Styela clava: one gene and its partner. The protein of the gene in region 1 binds, or shares a complex with, the protein of each later gene. Links are inferred from orthologs where the notes say so. Each region holds a gene or a part of one and is shown in the gene's direction. Other genes may lie near its edges. The genes, in order: GRB10-interacting GYF protein 2-like and eukaryotic translation initiation factor 4E type 2-like.

Region 1 (10,082 bases):
TGTCTTTGAATACATGGCCATTAAATCACCCACGTCTGACTTTGATCAAGTTTGATGAAATGTATATAGTACCATCATCGCTCTTTTCGTGGATATATTCTGCCACTTATTATAGATGTAAGGTTGTGTATTTGATGTTAATCACTTCTTTTTCTGTTAAACTTTTTAAAAACATAAATATGTCATCAGGTCATGTTTGATCAATAATGAAATAGAGTTTATTTTCTATCCAACCCAACTGTCTTGATTGGGATTGCTGTAGTTTGTTTCCCCAATCCATGATTGATCGAATGTGATCTGGTAATCATTTAGCACTGATTTTCTTATTGTATAACATTTTAATTAGAGCAAATCCATTTAATACTAATCATCTGTAAGTTTGGGACTGAATATTTTTTGTCCGTCAGTAAATTTAGGTCTACATGGTCTAGCTATGAAACAGTGATTTTGTTGGGTAAGAGTCCCATTTGGCTATAATATATCAGTTGATGAAAATTTGTGTTGCTACAATTGGCCAATATGGCTCAACTTTTACGACTTGATAGTTTGCTTTTATTGTTATGTATGTAGAAGTCCTTAGTATTAATATTATTTTGATTTATTTTAGCTGTTTCAGAATATGTGCGAGTTTTAGTATAAAAGACCTTTGTTTTTTCGTATGAGTTGGGCAAAACATATATTGTCATTTGGAAAGAATGTGGAATCCTTTATGGATATTAATGTTTGCTTATTCGTGTGACTATTCATAGAACTGTTATGGTATACTGATCGCTTATTTATGGCCGGGAAAATAAGGTGAATTTGGTGTATGTATGAGAAAAATGATAATTTTTAATGTCTTTGATTGATTCATTATTGTCAATTGGCTCCTGTATTTTCCTTGTGTGATTTGCAGCAACGTTTGAAGGAAGCTTTTTTATTGGAAGTGAAAAATAACTTTAATATGTATTCAATACAATTCTTGAAAGCATTTTCTAAAATACGAATTGATTCGATAGCTTATTGAAGCTTTGGTTTTAATTACTTGCTTGTGATGAAACTGATAATATACATATTTTCAACTAGTCTTTTAATGTGTTTTGGATTTTATGTTATTATTAAACGAAGCATGCATCATTTCATGATTAATTTTAAACAACTTGGGAAATTGCCTACCAGAATGATATAGTTTTGATATGTGCAGTTTACTCTTATAACCAACCTATTTTTATCAACTGTAGAATGTGCATTTTGAGTTTAGCTTTGCTTATGAATAGATCTTGCAGATTTCTAAAACTAATAAGCTTTTCCTGTCATGTTCAAGAACGTGTAAATTTTTCCAGAAATTTTTTGATTGTGCACCTCTCTGAATAAAATAGAAACACTGAATTTAACAAAAAAAAAATCAGAAGCAATACGGAATACTATTAGATTTTTTATGTATCTGTTATGATGTTGTATACAAAATGGAAATTGCTTGCTGTTTAATTATTTGGATAATAATAAAAGTCTCGTGGTAGTGATCATGATTTATTTTCTCATCAAGGAAGAAAGAACTAATTAGCTCAAATGAGAGTTTGGGAATCTGTAGGTTGTCCCAGTCTCAAGTACGAAGTCTAATTAATCTCAAAAAGGGCAAAGGCAGTTAGTTGATGATTAGTCCTAGTCATCTCATTTAGATGAGTCGACTCAGTCGGTCAATCGTTTAATCGTCATCACAAAAAACAAGTGCACGTAAATTGATACAGATTAATGTTTTTTGTAAGAAGCTGTGAGGTCAAGCACTAACACCTATAACGAAATATGCTATTTACAGCCATTGGCTGTGGCAATAGTCATGGTAAACATATTTTGAGAATTACGGGTAAAATATTACAAAATAAATCGTAGAGAAGCATCCAGAGAAAAAATTTACAGAAAAGGCAGGTTTGGAGAAATGTATACAAATTGCAGGGAAAAATGTTTACAGTGAAGGAAATTTGAAAGAATGTCCAAAATACAAAGAGAAAAGTTAATAAACGCTGAAAAATTTACTCTTTAACTAGAACCTCCCCAACACTGGATAGTAGTTCTTTTTGTATGTACAATGTACATCATTTGTATCACGATCATGTTTTCTAATTCGACGAAAACAATACATATATATATTCTCTTTCAACTGATCTTATGTACATTTTTGCAGCAGTTTTATCGGGTACAAAGAAACCTCCAATGACAGCAGAAGTATGTACCAATATGTATGTAATCACATGGCAGAGGAAAATATATTAACAATATAAAAAATAATTACAGGCTTGATATATTTCCCATAGCTCTAGCGTTCACCCTTTGTCTAAAAACAAAGTTGAGAATGACTGCGGTAGACTATATCTTTATATGACAACATGCTGCTCCCCACCAATATGTTTTATCGCGGATGACCTTTACATTAAACGATAGTAAAATAACACCCAACGTATTCACCTTGGAGCAGTCACAGAAAACTAAACTTGGCACGCGAACCGCACGTGGCACAGACACATTCCGCGCAGTCCGAAGAACAATTTTTGCGTACACTACACATTTGACCGATATTTGTTTTTATTGACAGAACATTTTTGAGTTTTTTTTACCTATTCCAACTGGGGTTAGGATACCGAGATTTGAACCCTTTGCCTATCAAGATGTCCGCCCAATGCACTCACGTTGTTGACTGAAGCATTAGTGGGGTCGACTGATTTCTAATCGGTTTATCCCATTTAGTAGTTTATATCACAAATGAGGTTAATTGTAGTTTAATTCCCTAAATATTCTACTTTTAAAGTATTTTGCATGAACTATTACTTTGTAGATTTATATTTCACTTAACATTTTACCTGAGATTTTTCATAGCTTAATGCATCTTCTGATTGATTTGATTATTCTACATATAAATCGTTATTTGATTAAGCGCCAAGCAACCATTGTCAAGTCATTTGTGTAAGTTTAGATTGTATTCCAAACAACCATACAACTTATTTCGAAAAATGCAAAAACAATACTTCACGGAATTTCAAGATTGTATCTATAAACGTCAAGGCGGTGCTGATGTGGGAATTACGTCCTGTGGTCGGTTAGTTCACGTGTCGAGTCACCATTAACATTACGTGTCAAAACGGCGCGCTTTGTTTTCTAGAAATAACCAAGCGATAAATGAAAGGAAAATTGCGTGGAACAATAAGATGGAAGTAGGGGGGCCAAGGAAAATGATTTGCCGTGTGCAGACAGGGCCCGGGTCTGAGACGAGTGGCGCCTTTCATTTCAACTTCGCACCTCAAACTTGGGTCAAGCAACTTCTTATCTGGAGAGACTTTTTGTACCTTTAGTTTTGTGAAACACACTTCTATTTTTAAGCGTGGGCCATGTGGCAGCAGTGACGTAACCAACATATGACTTTGCGATCCTGTTTCTTTGAGCTTTGAGCTAGGTTCTGAAATCCCGAATTAACGAACTTGGCTGTTCTTTGACGATATCACTACACTTACGTACGCTGCAAGTTATAAAATTATCATCATAAAATGAGTACCAAAACAATGGTGACAGAGGAAAACAGAGTTTAACGCTAACTGGGAGAAAACGTGTTATTCTGCTTACAACAATGGTGAACCGCAGTGTCTGGCATGCTTTTAAGTAATATTTGTTACATATAAGTGTATCATTTTAAGCGACATAATAACATCAAACACTTTTTCTTGTGGCACTTCAATCTTGGACCACCCTGCATTACATGCTTACGGATTCATTAGCTCAATGCAATAGAGGAGGATAAGTAGTAACCCAAACTAATAGTAATTTAGAATACTGTTTTCCTTGTGATGTTTGGAACTAACAGTTAAATAAATGCTATGATTGCGATAGCTTTCTTGCCGGGGAAATAGTTCGGTATTGCAAAACTGTTTTCGATGTCAAAGTACGAAAGTAATTCAAGGTATAGATACCGTGTTTCCTCAAAAATAAGACCTAGCGTGAATTTCAAAAATAATTTTTATTATAAGCCCTCCCCTTAAAATAAGACCTAATCAATAACACGGAATTTTTTTTTACCTAGTCAATAACCTTGAGCTACTTTCACTGGTAGCTGGACCAGAGACCACATTGTTGATAAATGTGGTGCCTGAAGTTAATTTATTTTCCGTTTTAAGCGTGCAATGTTTCACTTAATAACAAAAATTATGTGAAGACGCGACAGACTTAAATTATGAAATTTGTATGCAATATTAGGTTATTATTAGAAATGCTTTCTTGAGATGATATTTGAAGTTGAGATAGCCATGTAAGGCAAATAAGTTGGTTATTGAGCAGCAAATATATATATTATACAAAACTTAGTCTCTTCAAGTTATTGTAAATACTTGTCACAAATACAACCCAGCAAACCTAGATTCTTCTCTCCTCGAACAACAGAAATCCCGATGGAGGGCGCTAAAGTGTAGCGAGCTCGCCAGTTGATCAGTTACCAGAAAGAAGCTGAAGCCTCGGAGACTAGTAGGGGCCAGGGGGGAGTTGGACTCGGTGTGCCTGCGTTTTTGTCTCGTTTTCTCACATTCTTATAAAGTTTGTCTTACACTACTTTTCTATGTTATTGTCGCTAAATAGTGTGCGAGTTGACTCATGTTTACAAATTCAAATTTTCAAATGCCAAATAGTCTAAAACTAAAACAATTCATAGGTAAAATTTTCCTGAAATTTGGCCGCACGGCGTTTGGCCGCAAATTGCCATGCTTATCTAGATCATTTTATTTGTTACCGTGTCATCTCATTTGTGCATGACACATTCATAGACGCATTAACCTCAAATCGGTAAGTGGGTACCATTGAGGTCTTTGAGGATCAATACTGTATTAAATTCTCAAATTGGAAACACCTAGGCCTACGGTACTTTTGTATTTCCAGACGCCTGTAGCCTACATCCAGACATCTGTACCTGGTCATGCTGTCATGAGTTGTTGTAGGGTATGACTGTATAATTCAATACTGCAATGATTGATCAATGGTGGTTTGTAAATTTTCTATTAATTCAGCAGTGACGCTTCAGCTTAATACATTAAATACCCGAGGATTGTCGGGTCTGGTATAGTTTAGTACCACATGTACTTCTAGTTGACCTGGCTCAACAATTTTTGCATATGTCAATCCTAACCCCCACCTGACTACGTCACCGAAAAATCACGCCATTTCGCCGTCACAGTGGCGTAATAAGGCCCACCGAAGTATGCGGATGGTCGTCCAAAACGCGCAGACGATCACCCGAAATCGAGCAAGCAATTTCTCTCGTTTTCTCGTCACAACGATCATGAAAATGAGAGAGATCGCTGCCATTAGTGATCTCTTTATCCAGTTGTCGTCGGCACAGATGCCATTTCGGGCGATTGTTGGTATACTTTGGCAAGCTCTATGACGTGATTGTGACATCGTAATGACGTAATGTTTGGCGTAGTCTGGTGGGAGTTAGGATTGACATGTGCAAAAATTGTTACGCCACGACCACTAGTTAGGTACGAAACTACACGAGACCCCAAATTTTGTCCGTAATAAAACCATAAATGGGGATGAAAATTTGTGTACAATAATTCCACTAGCTGACTATACCAGATATACAGGCTGACAGGAAAGTTAGTTGAGTGACCTTTGCTTCCTTTTTTTGTCATCTGTGTGGGCTATTACTTGTATTGTAGTATTGTAACTTTCATACTAATCACAACCTTTTTTTAATCAAATACATTATAGCCTTTACCCCAGCTTGAATTATCTGTCATACTATATTGCAGTGTAAACATACATGATGTCTTCTGCTGAAACCTTGAACTTTGGCCCTCAGTGGTAAGTTTGATTGAGCAGCTCGGGGCTGAATTTTAAAATCTCTTCGCATATATGATAATATCTATGTACAGATGTATATTAAAATTAAGTATGGTAATAAAGGCTTGAAAAGGGCAGTTTTTATACAGTGTTAATGATAGATTTTAAAGTGCTGAATTGGTATGATTGACATTAGTCAAGATTTTTACATGAATATGGGACACTTGCGTTCATTATACTAAGTCAAGTACCACTTTCCACTGCGAATGCATACACTTTTCACCTCTAACCCATATAATTTTAGTTTCCGCACATGAACGTAATAAATGTTATTATTCTTGATTCATTTTTTGACTTAACTCATATTGTTTCAAACTGTACTGAATAGTCTTTAACATAGCCTACATGATTTATCTTTAAAACTTTGTGTTACATTCATATAACTCGGTAGTCCTATTAAAACTAAATCTTTTCATTTGGATATTTCAGGCTGCGAGATTTATCTGGTGGAGCAAGTACTTCTCCAACAAGTCCACCAGCGATTCTATCTCAGTTTCAACAGCCTACTTCAAAATTCAAACTGGCTGAAAATAGGTAAATGCATTTATAGAATATTTGTATATTGGGGAATTAATATAAACTTTTTTTATATACAATGACTTTATAGTATAATGCTGTATAGTATAATAAGCTGATCACTTATGGATTTAGTTACTATTTTTGCCATCTGTTACGCCTTCTAGTTTTCTAAAAATCAAGATGTGAATATGTGTTGGAATTGCAGTTTGGAGATTTTTGATTTGAACTCGTTTCTTTCCAGGTATGGTCGAGAAGAGATGTTGGCATTGTTTGTGGACGATTCTGAAATACCTGAAGAACTTGCAAGAGCACCATCACTCGTTACAGAAATTGTACAAGCTCCTCTTGCCTTCAGACCTTCCGAATCTAATCAATCACAGGTCGGTTTTTATTCTGTTCCTCATTTACTATAAAGTAAAATTGATAATAGGGGTGTCGTGTTGGCAAAGGATTTTTATAGCGTGGACTTCCACTCTCGCCTGAGCTGTACATGTACATACAGTTCGATTTGAATTTATTTTAAATATTCAGAACTACGCAAGTATCAACAGTTCTATCCTCCAGTATAAGGCTCAGTAATTGATCTCAGTAATTGAGAATTTTATTAAAAGCTGCCATGACATTAAATTTCATCTAGAGAAAATATTGTCTTTGCTTTAACCCATGTTGGTATACGTTGCGCATAACACCTTCTACATATTTTTGTATCTATAGACATATATATAAGTCCAAACTCAATTCTAGGTTAATCGAACTTCTATATAGGAAGATGTTTGTTTCTGTGACTGTTTCAAAAAGTTTTATTCATCCCATTCTGGTTCTTCCATTCATTTACATAAATGGTTATTCATAAGTCATTCAATAAAGAACTAACAATAAATTTATGAGACATAATCAAATAGCTTAATCATCTGTGTCACATGAGTTATCTTCCGTGCCAATCATGAGTCTGAGCGATATACACAAACTCTCAAAAAATTAAGTGTGATGTCCATATGCATATATACCAGTAAGTATTCTTTACCATGGGTACTGGGTCCGCAAAAACTGTACATTTTTGTTATTTGTATTGGTACTTCGGTGTTAAAGAAGTATAAATCATACATCTAATCATTGCGAGATAGAGAAGACAAATGTTTCTTCTGAAACACAAATATAATACAGTGATACATTGGTGGTCGAACATAATTCATTCAGGATTGGTCTTAATTAAGAGTACTGAGACTTTTTTGCCATAAGAAAAATGGTAACTATTTTATCAGATTGCATACCCGTACTACTTCGTTTTGGTTTTGGTGTCCTTTGGTTGAATGGTCAAGAGGCAGCCTAGATGCGCGGTTCGGGTGACATAATCTCACTCGGGTGTTCAAGCAACGAATTTCCACTGGAGGATCTCAGCCTTTTTGACCAGAATTTTTCTAGTCGACTAACTAATTGTTCGAGTATTGAGTCATTTGACTACCAATGTAGTCACTGTATTTCAAAACTTGTATCTTATATTCAACAGCAAAAATCACAGAAAACAATATAAAAATTAAAAATGTCAACTAAGTATGCGGCCATTTTTGATTTGTTAAAAACACTTTGGTCTTCGGTATTTTGCATGAGCTTTGTTTCTAATCCAAGCAAACTAAAAAAGATCAAAGAAGATGAAAAGGTTATATTGACAACAACATTTGATTGAAATAATTTTTGAATATTTTTCTATTTTCAGCTTTCGTCCGGTTTTCGAGGTCGAGGTGGTATTTCAACTGGTCTCAGAGGTCGCTCCATACCTGGAAGAGGAAGGGGAAGAGGCAGAGGTGATTTTGATATTAAGTTATATATTCCTTACTTTGCATTTTAATTGTCTAACTCCTGATTAAAAGAAGCTTAGATACGACAAAAATAAAGTAGTAGCCTCTAACGGTCTTTTAGCGATTTCCATCGCAATGTACTGAAAAGTTGTTAGGATGGTATTACTTCGTTTTCTGTGGTGCGCAGAATTTTGCTCCATATATATCATATCGGCTTGTGGTCTCCCACCAGATTTGCCCGTTGATATTTTTGACGAATCCATTGGTCAGCTTATTGTGTAACCGATAACTATGTGAATTACTGCATCTGTTCAAACGCAATCTCTGATTTTAAGCTTCATATTAGTCATTTGACCTATATGTTCCTATATTTTATTATCGCTCTCTTTTCCTATATGTGATTGATTTTCGAAAAACACTTTGTTACTTATTCATGACAATATGCATTTCAATAATTTATATTAGAAAACAATCAATCCTTTCTAGGGATGTAAATAAATCGTTACCAACCTCAACTAATCCTGTCAATGTACTGTTTTTCTCAAGACAGATTATTATATATTTATGATGTTAACTATGACAAGGAACAAAACTGCACTGTTATTTTGAATAGTATATTACAAAATTTAATTTATCTATCCCCAATAAGTTGAGTGCAATTTCAAATTCAATAATGCGTCTGTTCTGTAGTATTTATCCTGTTGCTCTGTAACTCTGTTCTGTCTGCTACTCTGTAACTCCGTGCTGTTCGCTGTTCTGTCACAGCGAACTGTAAAAAAAAATTATTAGTACTTATCATTGTGTGTATTACCAGGCACAGCATGGGTGGACCATGACGAAGGTCCAGGTCGTAAACCACCTCTGTTGAGACGATCAGAGAGTGAGGATTGGCGCAGTGACTCACTCCGAGGTAAGGGTGATGGGGCGGAAGATATGATTGGTGGTTTGAAGGAGTGGAGAGGCTCCGGCCAGAGACCTGATTTCTGGAAAGGTATTGAGCGAGTTACCGGTACTTGAAAGTCTCCCATCTGTTATGTGTTGGTGTTTTGTCATGTATTTACATTGAGTAAATGTTAGGTATACATCTTCTGAATTGGGTCATCTGATTAAAATTAGATAATGACCTGTGAACATGATAATAAATTGTAGGATATTTTACCTGAATGCCCAAAATTATTTTGTTTATGTGTACATCTCCACAATTGCTCCGATTAGGATTGCAAATATATTATGGGGTAAAGTATGATATGATATTTTGTGACAGAAAAAGGATTAAATTTTTAGTGACTATTTCATGGATTAAAAACAATGAGTTTATCTTTTATGCACTATCAAATAGGGGTGCTCTGTGATTAGAGAGAACTTCGAGTTGGCCAATATATGGATGGATGTTTATCCGCAATGTTAAGAATCATTATATATGCTTACTTCGGTAATATGCACTGTGTTTAACATAATATATTCATAGACACTTGGCGTGACAGACCAGGGGATGTTCGCGAGCAGAAAACTTTCAGAAGTCGTTCCATGAGTGCTAAGGTATGAAACATGAGGATACATACCGGTAATCATTCTTTTTAATGCTAATGTGTGTCTAATAAATATGTTGCTTTTTTTTGGAACATTTAATAATAAAAGCATGAAACTAGGGAATAGGGATGTAAGTTTCGAATATTTTATTTTCGAATCAAATTTCCAATCAGAATGTTCAAATTTGAATATTTCTGAATCTGATTCTATTTAGTATGACATCATATTATCGTTACCTTTTTTTATAAAATTTAGAAGAACTATAGTATCAATTGTGATTAAATTACAATAATGAACTTGAAGAATGAAAAAAGTTAGTAGAAAATGCACATTGTGAATGGATGCATCAACTACCTAATATATTATGGCTGAGAAAATAGA
Region 2 (10,549 bases), on another chromosome or scaffold:
GTGTGTATATGTATATGATTTTGCTTTATATGCATATTTGGTTGACTATATACTATAGGTATATGATAGGATAGGATAGGATTTACATATTTATCCCGGGGGAGAGGAAAGCCGATAAGACGGCTTATCCATATGGCGAACCACGGCCTCTCGTCCGGTTACCATTCCAAGTCGAGTATGGGATTAGTTTTACTGTATTCAGTGTATTGTTTGTTTTCGGAAGCATGGACTTGGTGGTGGAGGAAGCCGTAACCGACCAGCGGTTACGTGAACCACCCAACGACGGCGAGGAGTCCAGCAATCCTCTCGCACATAACCATCCCTGCATGGGATTCGAACCTGCGAACCCACGCAGAGTAATTAGAGGTGCGGTGGCGAGCGTATTCCTAACGCTTAGCCCGTTGAGCCACACCGCCTGATTTGGATGTGTAGTCATTAAAATAATTCTATATGTATATTGGGTTATATGTATATGCTGTGTATGCACATTACTTGAATAAATACATATTTTATAGAATTGGTTGTATATACAGCAGGGTGACTCAAAAAAAAACGGAACCCATAATATTGTTAATAACTTATACAAAAACATCATTAAATTTTGTTTATGCTTCAAATTCTGTTTGCGCATGATTATACCCGAAAGTTCCAGGAATCTAGGTAGGGATATGTTCGAAAATAATTGTTTTTAAACAATTGTTTTAAAGCAAGTTTTTTTTTTGTCTGTTTTGTTCAAAATAGCTTTATCGTTTGATTTTTTTGCATTAAATTGATTACAGCTAGAACAAGAAAAGAGGATAAAAACTTGCAAATTTCTTCTTATTCGCAATAAACCTCTCGAAACGCCACAAATATAGATCACTCGCCCTTACACGCCTCCTTGAGGTGCAGCACAATGCGTCCGCAAACGTGGTTGGCGGAGGAAGTCGCTTCTGATAAGCCATTACGCAAACCACTCTACTGCAAGGAGCCCAGCAATCCTCTTGTACATTGTCACATCACTCGTGGGATTCGAACCGGGACTGGATATATTATTAGGCAAAGTAGCCGAAGCCTGAGGACTTCCTTCCTCGAGGGTCTTGTCAATCAATTTTGAACTGTTATACATTTTTAATCGTTTTTAAAATGTAAAGGCTTATTTCTGAATAATGTTAGTTTCAAACTTAACATATGTCATAATTTTTGTTCAGGTTATTAATTCCAAATATTTACCGTTTAAATCATTAAAAATGTAAATACGGCCACATAAACGAATTTGTATAACTTATATTCCTTCAACCTTAAAGACAAAGTATGCTAATTCAAATTATTTAAACAATTTTATATCGTAATAATGCCTTTATTTTATGAAAAAAATATCGATATATGGCTATATATAATACTAATTCATCTAAGCTACAAAGAAGGTAAGAATTATCATTATATAAAATATATGTTATATATCTTAGACCAGATATCACTAAAAACGAGGATATTGCGAGGGCTTATTTTCTGGTGCCATTCCGTTTTGTATGTACGCCTATGTATATTTCCTCGATTAGGTTATTTCTGATGTCATTCGTACAGAGGGGCCCTTCAATTAGCATAGCCTGGGATGTTTCATTGTATAAATACAGGCATGTATCTAACTTCTAACCCGTACGTAAGGTTGCGGCCGATCTAAGTATATTTTTCATTATTGTATCTTGTTTGCCGAATTTAGGCGGTGATTGATCGTTTGATCATTTTCTCGGCTAGCTGTCGCCAGCTGCAACGAGGCCGATCCAAGGATCTCACTAAACCATTCAATCGGTAGTAGCGACGGGCGTTGTGTACAAAGGACAGGGACTCTTCCCGGTTCACTGGCCGTTACTCAGGGAATCCCTGGTGGTTTCTTTTCCTCCGCCTAATAATATGTTCAAATTCAGCGGGTGCTCTCGCCCGAACTCAGGTCCTATGTGTCTCGCGGACTGCTTCCACGGCACGCTGGCATCGCAAGTCGTCGACGCCGGCGCCGACCGACGGCACATCGAGCGCGGTGCCCAGAAGCCACCATTGCACTTGGCTGCCTTGCTATGCCAACGTGTTACGCGTGTCGCACGGGGCGTGTGCCCCTGATTCAAGGCCGCCCCCACGGCGGTACCCAAAGACAAATGCGGTCGGCCGAGGCCTACCACCTTCGGTAATGATCCTTCCGCAGGTTCACCTACGAAAACCTTGTTACGATTTTTACTTCCTGAACATAATCAAGTTTGATCGTCTTCTCGACACGCCGACGCGGCCGTTGCCAGCCGCGACGGGGCCGATCCAAGGAAACCACCAAACAAACAAACATTCAATCGGTAGTAGCGACGGGCGGTGTGTACAAATGGCAGGGACGTAATCAACACAACTTGATGACTGGCGCTTACTGAGAATTCCTCGTTTAAAGGGAAAAAAAGTTAAAACAACGTTTTTTTCATCACCATTGCCTTTTAATAGCGACATGTTATGCTTTTTGACATTGCAAAATTTTCGGGGCTATTTTAAGAGTGCTTTTGTGAGTTGGCGCCTGTGAAATGGGTTATGTGTTTCAAACCATCATTATGATTCATCGCATATAACAATCTGTTTTTTAAATGTACCGGTAAAGAATTTTAGCCTAGTCTATCACAGCTATTTCTACACTAATTTATATGACTGCAATTAAATTAAAACTCCTAGGAAGACAGGGTGACCATTGAATTATCTGATTTACATTTAAGTTTCCGAAACACAACTGAAAGATAACGAAAAGAGTTCAAAAACGCGAAAACGAGGTAATGTTTACGACCACGCTTGAAAATCTGTCTGAGTGAGAAAAGTGTCTGAGCAGATGTCAACAGGAAGCATTGTTACGTCACTTTTTGCATCTTGCTGATTGGCCAAGATCACGAAGTAAACAAGAAGTCGATGCTCTGGGAAAGGTCCATTGAGACCACTTTCTGCCATTACTGCATTAATTGCTGGACTCTGTGAAGTTCTGATGCTGATTTAGAATTTATGTAATTTAGTAGTTTGTAGATATTTAGGAAGCTTTAAATCATCGTTTAACATTGCTGGAAGGCCAGCCCACATGTGATGCTAGCCCACACCCGTGTGACGCCAGCCCACACTAGTGCAGTAGTGTGACGCTAGCCCACGCTCGTTTTTGTTAGGCCATACCGGTACTCGGTGTACCCAATGACATTAAACAACATGATGCGCAACTCCGGCTTTTTTGGCCGAAGATCGTATCCGATAGTACGCTCCAATGCACATACTTGGCGAGACGAAAACGAGCGGATGTGTGCTGCTTTTAAGGCATAGCACGAATGGTGTTCGTGTCTGCTTTGACAGTTGTTGTCGATTTTAATGATATTTCGGAAAGTTGAGGTAAAAAGAAATCGGAAAAAGGTAAGGTAAATACTATTGTTGTATATCACACCCGGGCATCGCACTGTTAAGTACACGTGGGAAAGCCAGCCTTTGTCAAATACTACGAAGTTATTAATTCAGTACGGTAAGTAGTTGCCCATTCGCCGAAATTGCATATTTACTTACCCCTTATGGTTTCAAATAGTTCATGCACCTCCATTTAGATTTTTTTTAATCAGTGAGGATATATACATTTGCTCATTGTAACATACTATTGCGCATTCACTTTTATTTGCGTATTGAATCAAAGTGTTAACAAGTTCACCTAACATTTCACTCATGACGGTCTATATTGTATAGTCTGATCTCTCAAGTATTTGGAGCCACGAATGCTTGTAATTTGCTGACCAACCCCTTTTATTAGTTGGTTTATATACCAAATTCAGTAAAACATTTTTTACATAAAACATGGGATATTGGATTTATTAGCTTTTCCATTCTAAATCATATAGACTGCTTTATTTATTCTTAACGAAAATTAATAAATCTCCTCTCTTTCTTCAGATGTGAAAGTTGTGGACAAACCTGTCTAAGCATTGTGAGACTCCTGCAGCACAAGAGGCAATAGCAAATATAGTAAGTATATCAATCAAGAAATTAAGCCGACATAATGCAAAGTTTCAACTATTCGTCTAATCTCAATTTCCTATTATTTATTCACAGGACACTATAGCAGAAGGGGAGTCTGGCGACATATCAGCGACAGTGTGATTCCAAGAAATATAATTAGAGTACTCCATAAATGTTTGCAATAGAAAAACGACCTATGGGGGCATGCAAAGACATTTGACTCCGGTAGAGTTGTGTATGGCCCCCACGTCGTGCAGGTCTTGAGGAAAATAACTAAAAATTCCAAAGCGTAAGATTGCATAGGCGGTCTTATTTGTAAAAAGGCACAAAACACGCCAGACATACTTAAAACAGCTTTGGAAAATGAGGATAACGGGTAACTCACTGCACCTGTGTTATATTTGGTTCATCAACTTTTGGTAGTACTATAGAAGAAATTCCGGAAGGGGTATAATCATCATTCATGATAAAATACTGTTATATATATTTTGGACAACTTCAATCTAGACCAGGGATGTCAAACTCGCGGCCCCAGAGAACTTTCAGTGCGGCCCTCGAACGCTAATTGTAATAGTATTTTGGAAGTTTTTTTTTATCTAAATGTAATAGATTTTTCAAACCTTTTAAAGTGAAATATGTTTATATATTAATATAATTATACAACGACTTAGTTACTAAAAATCAATATCAATAATAATTCAAGCAATCCTATGCCACGCAATGTGGTACGAAATGTCTTGTCGAAAAAATCTGTCATTTTATTTTTTACTGATCTATACATGAAATGATAAAAGTAACTTTTTTGCATTACTGGAATTAATTAAACATTCGCAAAGATCAAGATTAACCCATGATCATGTGACCTCGTTAGTTAGAGTTGGTACTATAAAATCATTTCAGCCTAGCCTTAGTATGCTGGTGACACAAAAAAGATGCCAAACGTCAGGACAAATGTAATTAAAAAAACATTGAGTATATACTGTAGTATTTTTGTTAATTTTAGGTTCATATATTTAGATAAAGTCATTTTTAGTGTATGTATTATTCTTTCCTTATCCAAAGCTTGTTCAAAATTGATTTTGATGGTTGTACATAGAATTTTAATATTTGTTTATAAATAATACAGTAACTTGCAAATGTTGCAATAATAGTGGAATGCAAATATTAATTAAATATTAATGTAATTGCATTTGAAATTGAAGAAAATAATAAAACTTAATCCAGCTGTTTAGTTGCATCACAATATATGTCACAAACTAAAACTATCTTAAAAATATCTTTCAAGTATACATTTTCAAAAACTGTTTGCGGCCCTTTTTACAATTTCCAAAATGCAATGCGGCTCTCGAAAACACATGAGTTTGACACCACTGATCAATTCTAGACGATTCAAACATTGCTTTGGGAAATAATATCACTTCAATTAAATTGAAAAAAATCTCGCTATATTAAATACAAAATCGTTGCTATCATAAAGGTAAACCAATTCAGCCACTCGAAATATATTGGCCTTCACAAAGCAATGGAGGCAAAATTGAGAGTTCATGAGCTATGAATATTTGTTATTTTCTTTGTCTTGAACTTTTCATACTCCAAAGCCCCTATTAATTTTTATCAATTTTAATTACCATGGGATAGTCATACATATCTTTAACTTGTATTTTCTGTCATGATGTATTATCTCAATGTGTCAAACTATTAATTAGTGTGCATATTTTGCTTCCAGATGACATAAATGTATTGTCTTGTTTATTACCTCAGCTTAGAGTATTGACAAGAAAAAGGTGCCAGTAAATTAGGTAAAAATTTTTTTTTTTAAACACCGTTTAGAAAAGTAAAAACAGTTTTGTATGACACCCTCTTTAAATGAAATTTTAATCATTAAGCGCAAACAATAAAATTACTAACTTTGAACTTTGTCATTATCTGCAAAATGTTCCACACAAATCTTTCCGCTATCGCGTTTGTAATCTTCTCTGATAAAAAAAAAAACGTCTATGATGTCCAGAATTGCTCTTTACAGCTTGTCTGCCATCCCAGCTTTCCAAGTGAGCAAAACGTCTTAGATATAGAGATTATTTTCTTTCGTTACAAGCGCAAAAAGGCAGGTACTACACGTAAAAAAGACGCCGAGTAGCAAAAGCGAGCGGAAAACGGTCGTGAAAGGCGACGATAAATATGTGCATTGGAGCGTATCATGAAATACAATCTTTCGCCTGTAGTCTTATGGAGTGACGTCAGAGTTGCCTATCATGTTGTTTAATGTCATTGGTGTACCTGAGCCGTGCTTGGTGTCGCATTCGCGTGGGATACCGTATATCACAAATGGTCTATATATTATCGGAGCAACCAAATTTTTATTGAATACCGGTACCGTTTATAAAGCGAATAAAATAGAGGAAAATAGTTGATTGACCCACTGGCCGCAGGTTAAGTGTGGGCTGAAGTAACTTTGGTTGACACTTGACAGATAAATTTCCTCTGACAGTCGGATGTTTTATTTTTACAGAGAACTAGCATAAATCTGTAAATACCACGTAAATACTGGTACGATACATCTGTCAGGCTGTACATTGATTACCGGTAAATACAGAAATAACATAAATATTCATTTTTTATGATCTGGCTGTCAACTACGGCAGTACCGTACGGTTGCACAATGAACAACAAATTTAGTGCGTAAGTACTGAAGTACCGATACCCGATCAAGGGGAAAATTACTGAAATTTCAATTATTAGTTAGGCTATATAGGCTAAATACACATAAAAAAAGTTATATAAAGTTTGCTATTGCTATATAAATCAGTCAGTAAATACTGCAATATACTGATCAACAGTGTGCCAGTACTGCAGTAGTCTACCGGTACTGGGGGTCTAGTACAGTAGTATAGTTTAGTACCACAAGTACTTCCAGTGGGCGTAGTATAACGAATTTAACGATACGAACGGGTTAGGAATGACATTTGCAAAAATTGTTAAGCCAGGCCAACTAGAAGTGCATGTGGTACTAAACTATACCAGACCCATCTACTGGTATATCTGTATATTTTAACTACAGTCTGACAGTTGACCATACACGAAAAGTTACCATATTTCAAGTATTTGACAGTTAATAATAAAATATTTTATTTCTAATATTTAATTTCTAATACAATTATAAAGCTAGCCGAACTTTGTAACATTGGGAGATTAATTTCAAAATTTGAAACCCTTTCGGTACATCATGAATTTGTTTCACACTGTCAGACTGTCGCGGAACTTAATTTGGGCTAGTGTGCGATGGTAGTGGTCATACCAAAAAACATGTCTATGGATCGGACGCTGGTTGGCCAGCTTCGAGTAAAATAAACTGAAGCTTTGTAGCTGGAATCAGTTTTCTTGCACTGGGCTGCAGCTATTGGAATTTCAAACTTGCTCCCGAGCCCTTTTTTTATGTAACTTCTGGTCTGTTACAACTTCCTTCAGTCCTTTATCATCAACAAATAGAGTTCGTATATCTGAAAATAATAACTGGTTAACTCAACCTAACTTATTTTTTCATTTGTAGGTTACAGGATGATGACAGTGGAGAGGAAATCTCTATAAAACCTGCAACAATGGCAGATGAAATGCATCGAGAAGTAAAACCTGGTTCAGGAGAACATTCATTACAATATTCTTATTGTTTTTGGTATTCAAAGAGGCCTCCAGGTCGCCCTGCTGATCCATCAGCTTTTGAAAAAAATATCAGAGTAGTAGCGACGTTTATATCTGTGAGTATCTTTCATGCACAGGTTTTATGATTTGATTACGATATCCTCATCCATACAATCCGTACAAAATAGTTGGATATTCTTAAATTTTGCTATCAAATTCTCGAGGGTGAAAATTGTTTTATCTTAAAGCGAATCAAGATTTTACCAAAGTTTCAGAATAATCAGCGGTTCGACGGTGTGCCGCATCGTGCTAAGCATTAGGAATACGCTTTCCACCACACGTCTGATTACACTGCATGGGTTCGTATCCCATGCAGGATGCTTGTGTGTGAGAGGATTGCTGGATTCCTCGCCGCCGTAGTGTGGTTCACGAAACCGCTGGTCGGTGAAGGCTTCTTCCACAATTAAGTCCGTGCTTCCAGAAACAAATGACTGGCTAATTAATCCCATACCTGACATGTACTGGTAATCGGACGAGAGGCCGTGGTTTACCATATGATTAATCCTTCTTGTCGGCTTTCGTTTTCCCGGATAAATATGTAAATTCTATCCTATCACCAGTGGTAGCATAACTTTTTATGGGAAAAACTTAATTGATTTGATAGGACCACAGTTTTTGAATGATATTGATATATTTTAATAATAAAGGATGGACTAAAATAGGCTCTCAATTAAGCACTTTGGAAATAGGAGAAATAGAGATTTATTCCTACCAAAAATTATAATTGTGTTTTTTTATTTTGATTATACTAGCCTTCTGGAGCACATATGAGGCACACACGAGTCTAATGATTCAAATTTAGATTGGTAAATAAGTAGGCATATTTGAAGGTACTTAAAAAAACATAAAAGCGGGAAAGCACCAAACCTTGCAAGATCCATGACTCATTGCACATTTTTATTTTCCTTTATTATCCTTATTCTTGGTGGGGTGGTGTAGTGTGATATCAGTATCTGATTTATATCGATGGGATTTCTACATTCAATTGTACATGTAATCACGGTAATTAATTATCTATTCAATGACTGCATGATTGACTCATTTTCAACTTTTTAATCATGTAATTCATCGAAGTTGGTGTAAAAAATATAAAGTTTTAACCCACTAGAATAGGCTTTATTCCATTTTAGGTTGAACAATTTTGGAAAGCATACAGTCATATGAAACGTCCTGGTGACCTGAATGGCCATTGTGATATCCATCTTTTCAAACAAGGAATCAAACCACTGTGGGAGGTAGGCACTAGGCAGTAAAGGTCATAGGAAAAATATTCAAAAAATTTATTGCCCACATAGTCTCAAATAAGTCAAGAGTCATCCCTAAATCACCTCATCTATATGTACAATATGTATGGACTACCATTACTTTCATGAATGTTGTGAATTTTTTTTTATAGTGTTTCATTCAGCAAATTTTTGAATATTATATAATATTTGATGGAAATATGCTATTGATTGAATGTTACATTTTGTGAGGTTAACTAGATTTGATATCCATACATTGACACAATGTCTATTTTTACTTGTCTATTGTCTACTACGCTATACATGTGGAATATATTGTATCATGGATTGAAATGGGGGGGGGGGGTTGTGATTTTTTATCAGGAATCCTGTGAATGTTAGATGAATTTGTTATTTAGAATTAGATGAAGCTTCTCTTTTATTCATGAACTTTGAAATGTTCAGAAATTTGAATCCCCTGTTTTCACTTGCTATTTATTTATTTTTTTCATATAAGGATGAAGCAAACAAAGATGGTGGGAAATGGATTGTAAGATTAAGGAAACATTTTACATCTAGATGTTGGGAGAATTTAATTATGGCAATGGTTGGTGAACAGTTTATGGTTGGTGATGAAGTATGTGGAGCTGTTGTTTCGCTTCGATTCCAGGTAAATACACAAATAACACCTATGTTTTATATATACATTTCTCAATGGGACTGATTAGGACTTGCAGGGTTGTAGTGCAATCCTTCCTGGGCTGCGAGCGAAGGAGCTGATCTCACTGACATGTCATGATGAGGCCTATTTAAGTTTAATTGTAGCTTGGTTATGATTGGTGCACTTGTTGAGTATTATCATTTTCAAGGAGGGTCTTCAACGAGGCCTACCCACCATCAATCAGCTTTGGGCATGTTTATCAATGTTGCACGCTTTCGCACCATCCTGCTCAGTGGTGTTGCTTGTTATTGATGTGATGAACAGATTCTGGCAAGTGAAAACTGGCTTGTGGTTCTTGTGTCTAATTGTATTCACTATGCTGTTACACATTCAAAAATCATTTTTTGTTTATTTAAATTTTTTTCCTGCACCCACAGTCTCGTTATTTCACTATAGCTCAAATATGTTATTCAATTACTTCAGGAAGATATAATATCTATATGGAATAAAACTGCAAATAATTCACAAGTTACCACGAGAATTCGAGACACATTGCGCAGAGTTCTCAACTTACCACCAACTGTTATAATGGAATATAAAAAACATAATCAAAGTATAAGGTATGTATTTGTATATACTCTCGTACATACTATCCTATCAAGGCATTATTCTCATTTATATAATTCAGGGATTCTCAACCTTTTTCTTATTAGGTAAACCCACTCATAGCATAGAACAATCGACATGAATTCCTAGTAAGATGAAAACAAATCAAGTGGTACTATTGACAAACAGCTAACAAATGTAAATGGTATTACGAAAGAAATTGAATAAAGTGCACACTGAAAATTAGTTGCCAGCTTGTTCAAATATTATATTTAAGCAGTAGTAGGTATATGATAAATTGATTTTTCTGTTTTACCTATTTTAACATTTGCAAGAAAAATTACTTTTCCATTGCATTGTGCATTTCATCTGTAAAATT

What was found.
Region 2: the proteins of GRB10-interacting GYF protein 2-like (region 1) and eukaryotic translation initiation factor 4E type 2-like are in contact, whole or in part, in a crystal structure (PDB 5NVM), measured with the Homo sapiens proteins. The link is inferred for Styela clava from reciprocal best matches to the Homo sapiens genes GIGYF2 and EIF4E2. Residues at the interface, in NP_001096616.1 of Homo sapiens: Leu38, Ala39, Asp40, Tyr41, Arg42, Tyr43, Gly44, Arg45, Met48, Leu49, Leu51, Phe52, Leu53, Asn56, Lys57, Ile58, Pro59, Asp61, Leu62, Asp64, Glu66, Phe67, Pro69, Ile70, Leu71, Gln72; in NP_004837.1 of Homo sapiens: His54, Pro55, Leu56, Gln57, Tyr64, Arg66, Asn81, Lys83, Gln84, Ile85, Gly86, Thr87, Val91, Glu92, Phe94, Trp95, Arg96, Phe97, Ser99, His100, Met101, Val102, Leu107, Phe113, Glu149, Asn150, Leu153, Leu156, Gly157, Glu158.

Annotation. Positions count from the first base shown.
Region 1 is NC_135257.1:11,069,836-11,079,917, reverse strand, and holds the start of GRB10-interacting GYF protein 2-like, read left to right. Parts: upstream 1-5,720; 5' UTR 5,721-5,776; coding exon 5,777-5,817; intron 5,818-6,285; coding exon 6,286-6,390; intron 6,391-6,616; coding exon 6,617-6,755; intron 6,756-8,089; coding exon 8,090-8,177; intron 8,178-8,985; coding exon 8,986-9,162; intron 9,163-9,639; coding exon 9,640-9,710; intron 9,711-10,082. UniProt on the Homo sapiens protein: Key component of the 4EHP-GYF2 complex, a multiprotein complex that acts as a repressor of translation initiation. In the 4EHP-GYF2 complex, acts as a factor that bridges EIF4E2 to ZFP36/TTP, linking translation repression with mRNA decay.
Region 2 is NC_135256.1:19,554,369-19,564,917, reverse strand, and holds the start of eukaryotic translation initiation factor 4E type 2-like, read left to right. Parts: upstream 1-6,479; 5' UTR 6,480-6,601; coding exon 6,602-6,663; intron 6,664-7,531; coding exon 7,532-7,736; intron 7,737-8,810; coding exon 8,811-8,915; intron 8,916-9,420; coding exon 9,421-9,573; intron 9,574-10,047; coding exon 10,048-10,184; intron 10,185-10,549. UniProt on the Homo sapiens protein: Recognizes and binds the 7-methylguanosine-containing mRNA cap during an early step in the initiation. Acts as a repressor of translation initiation.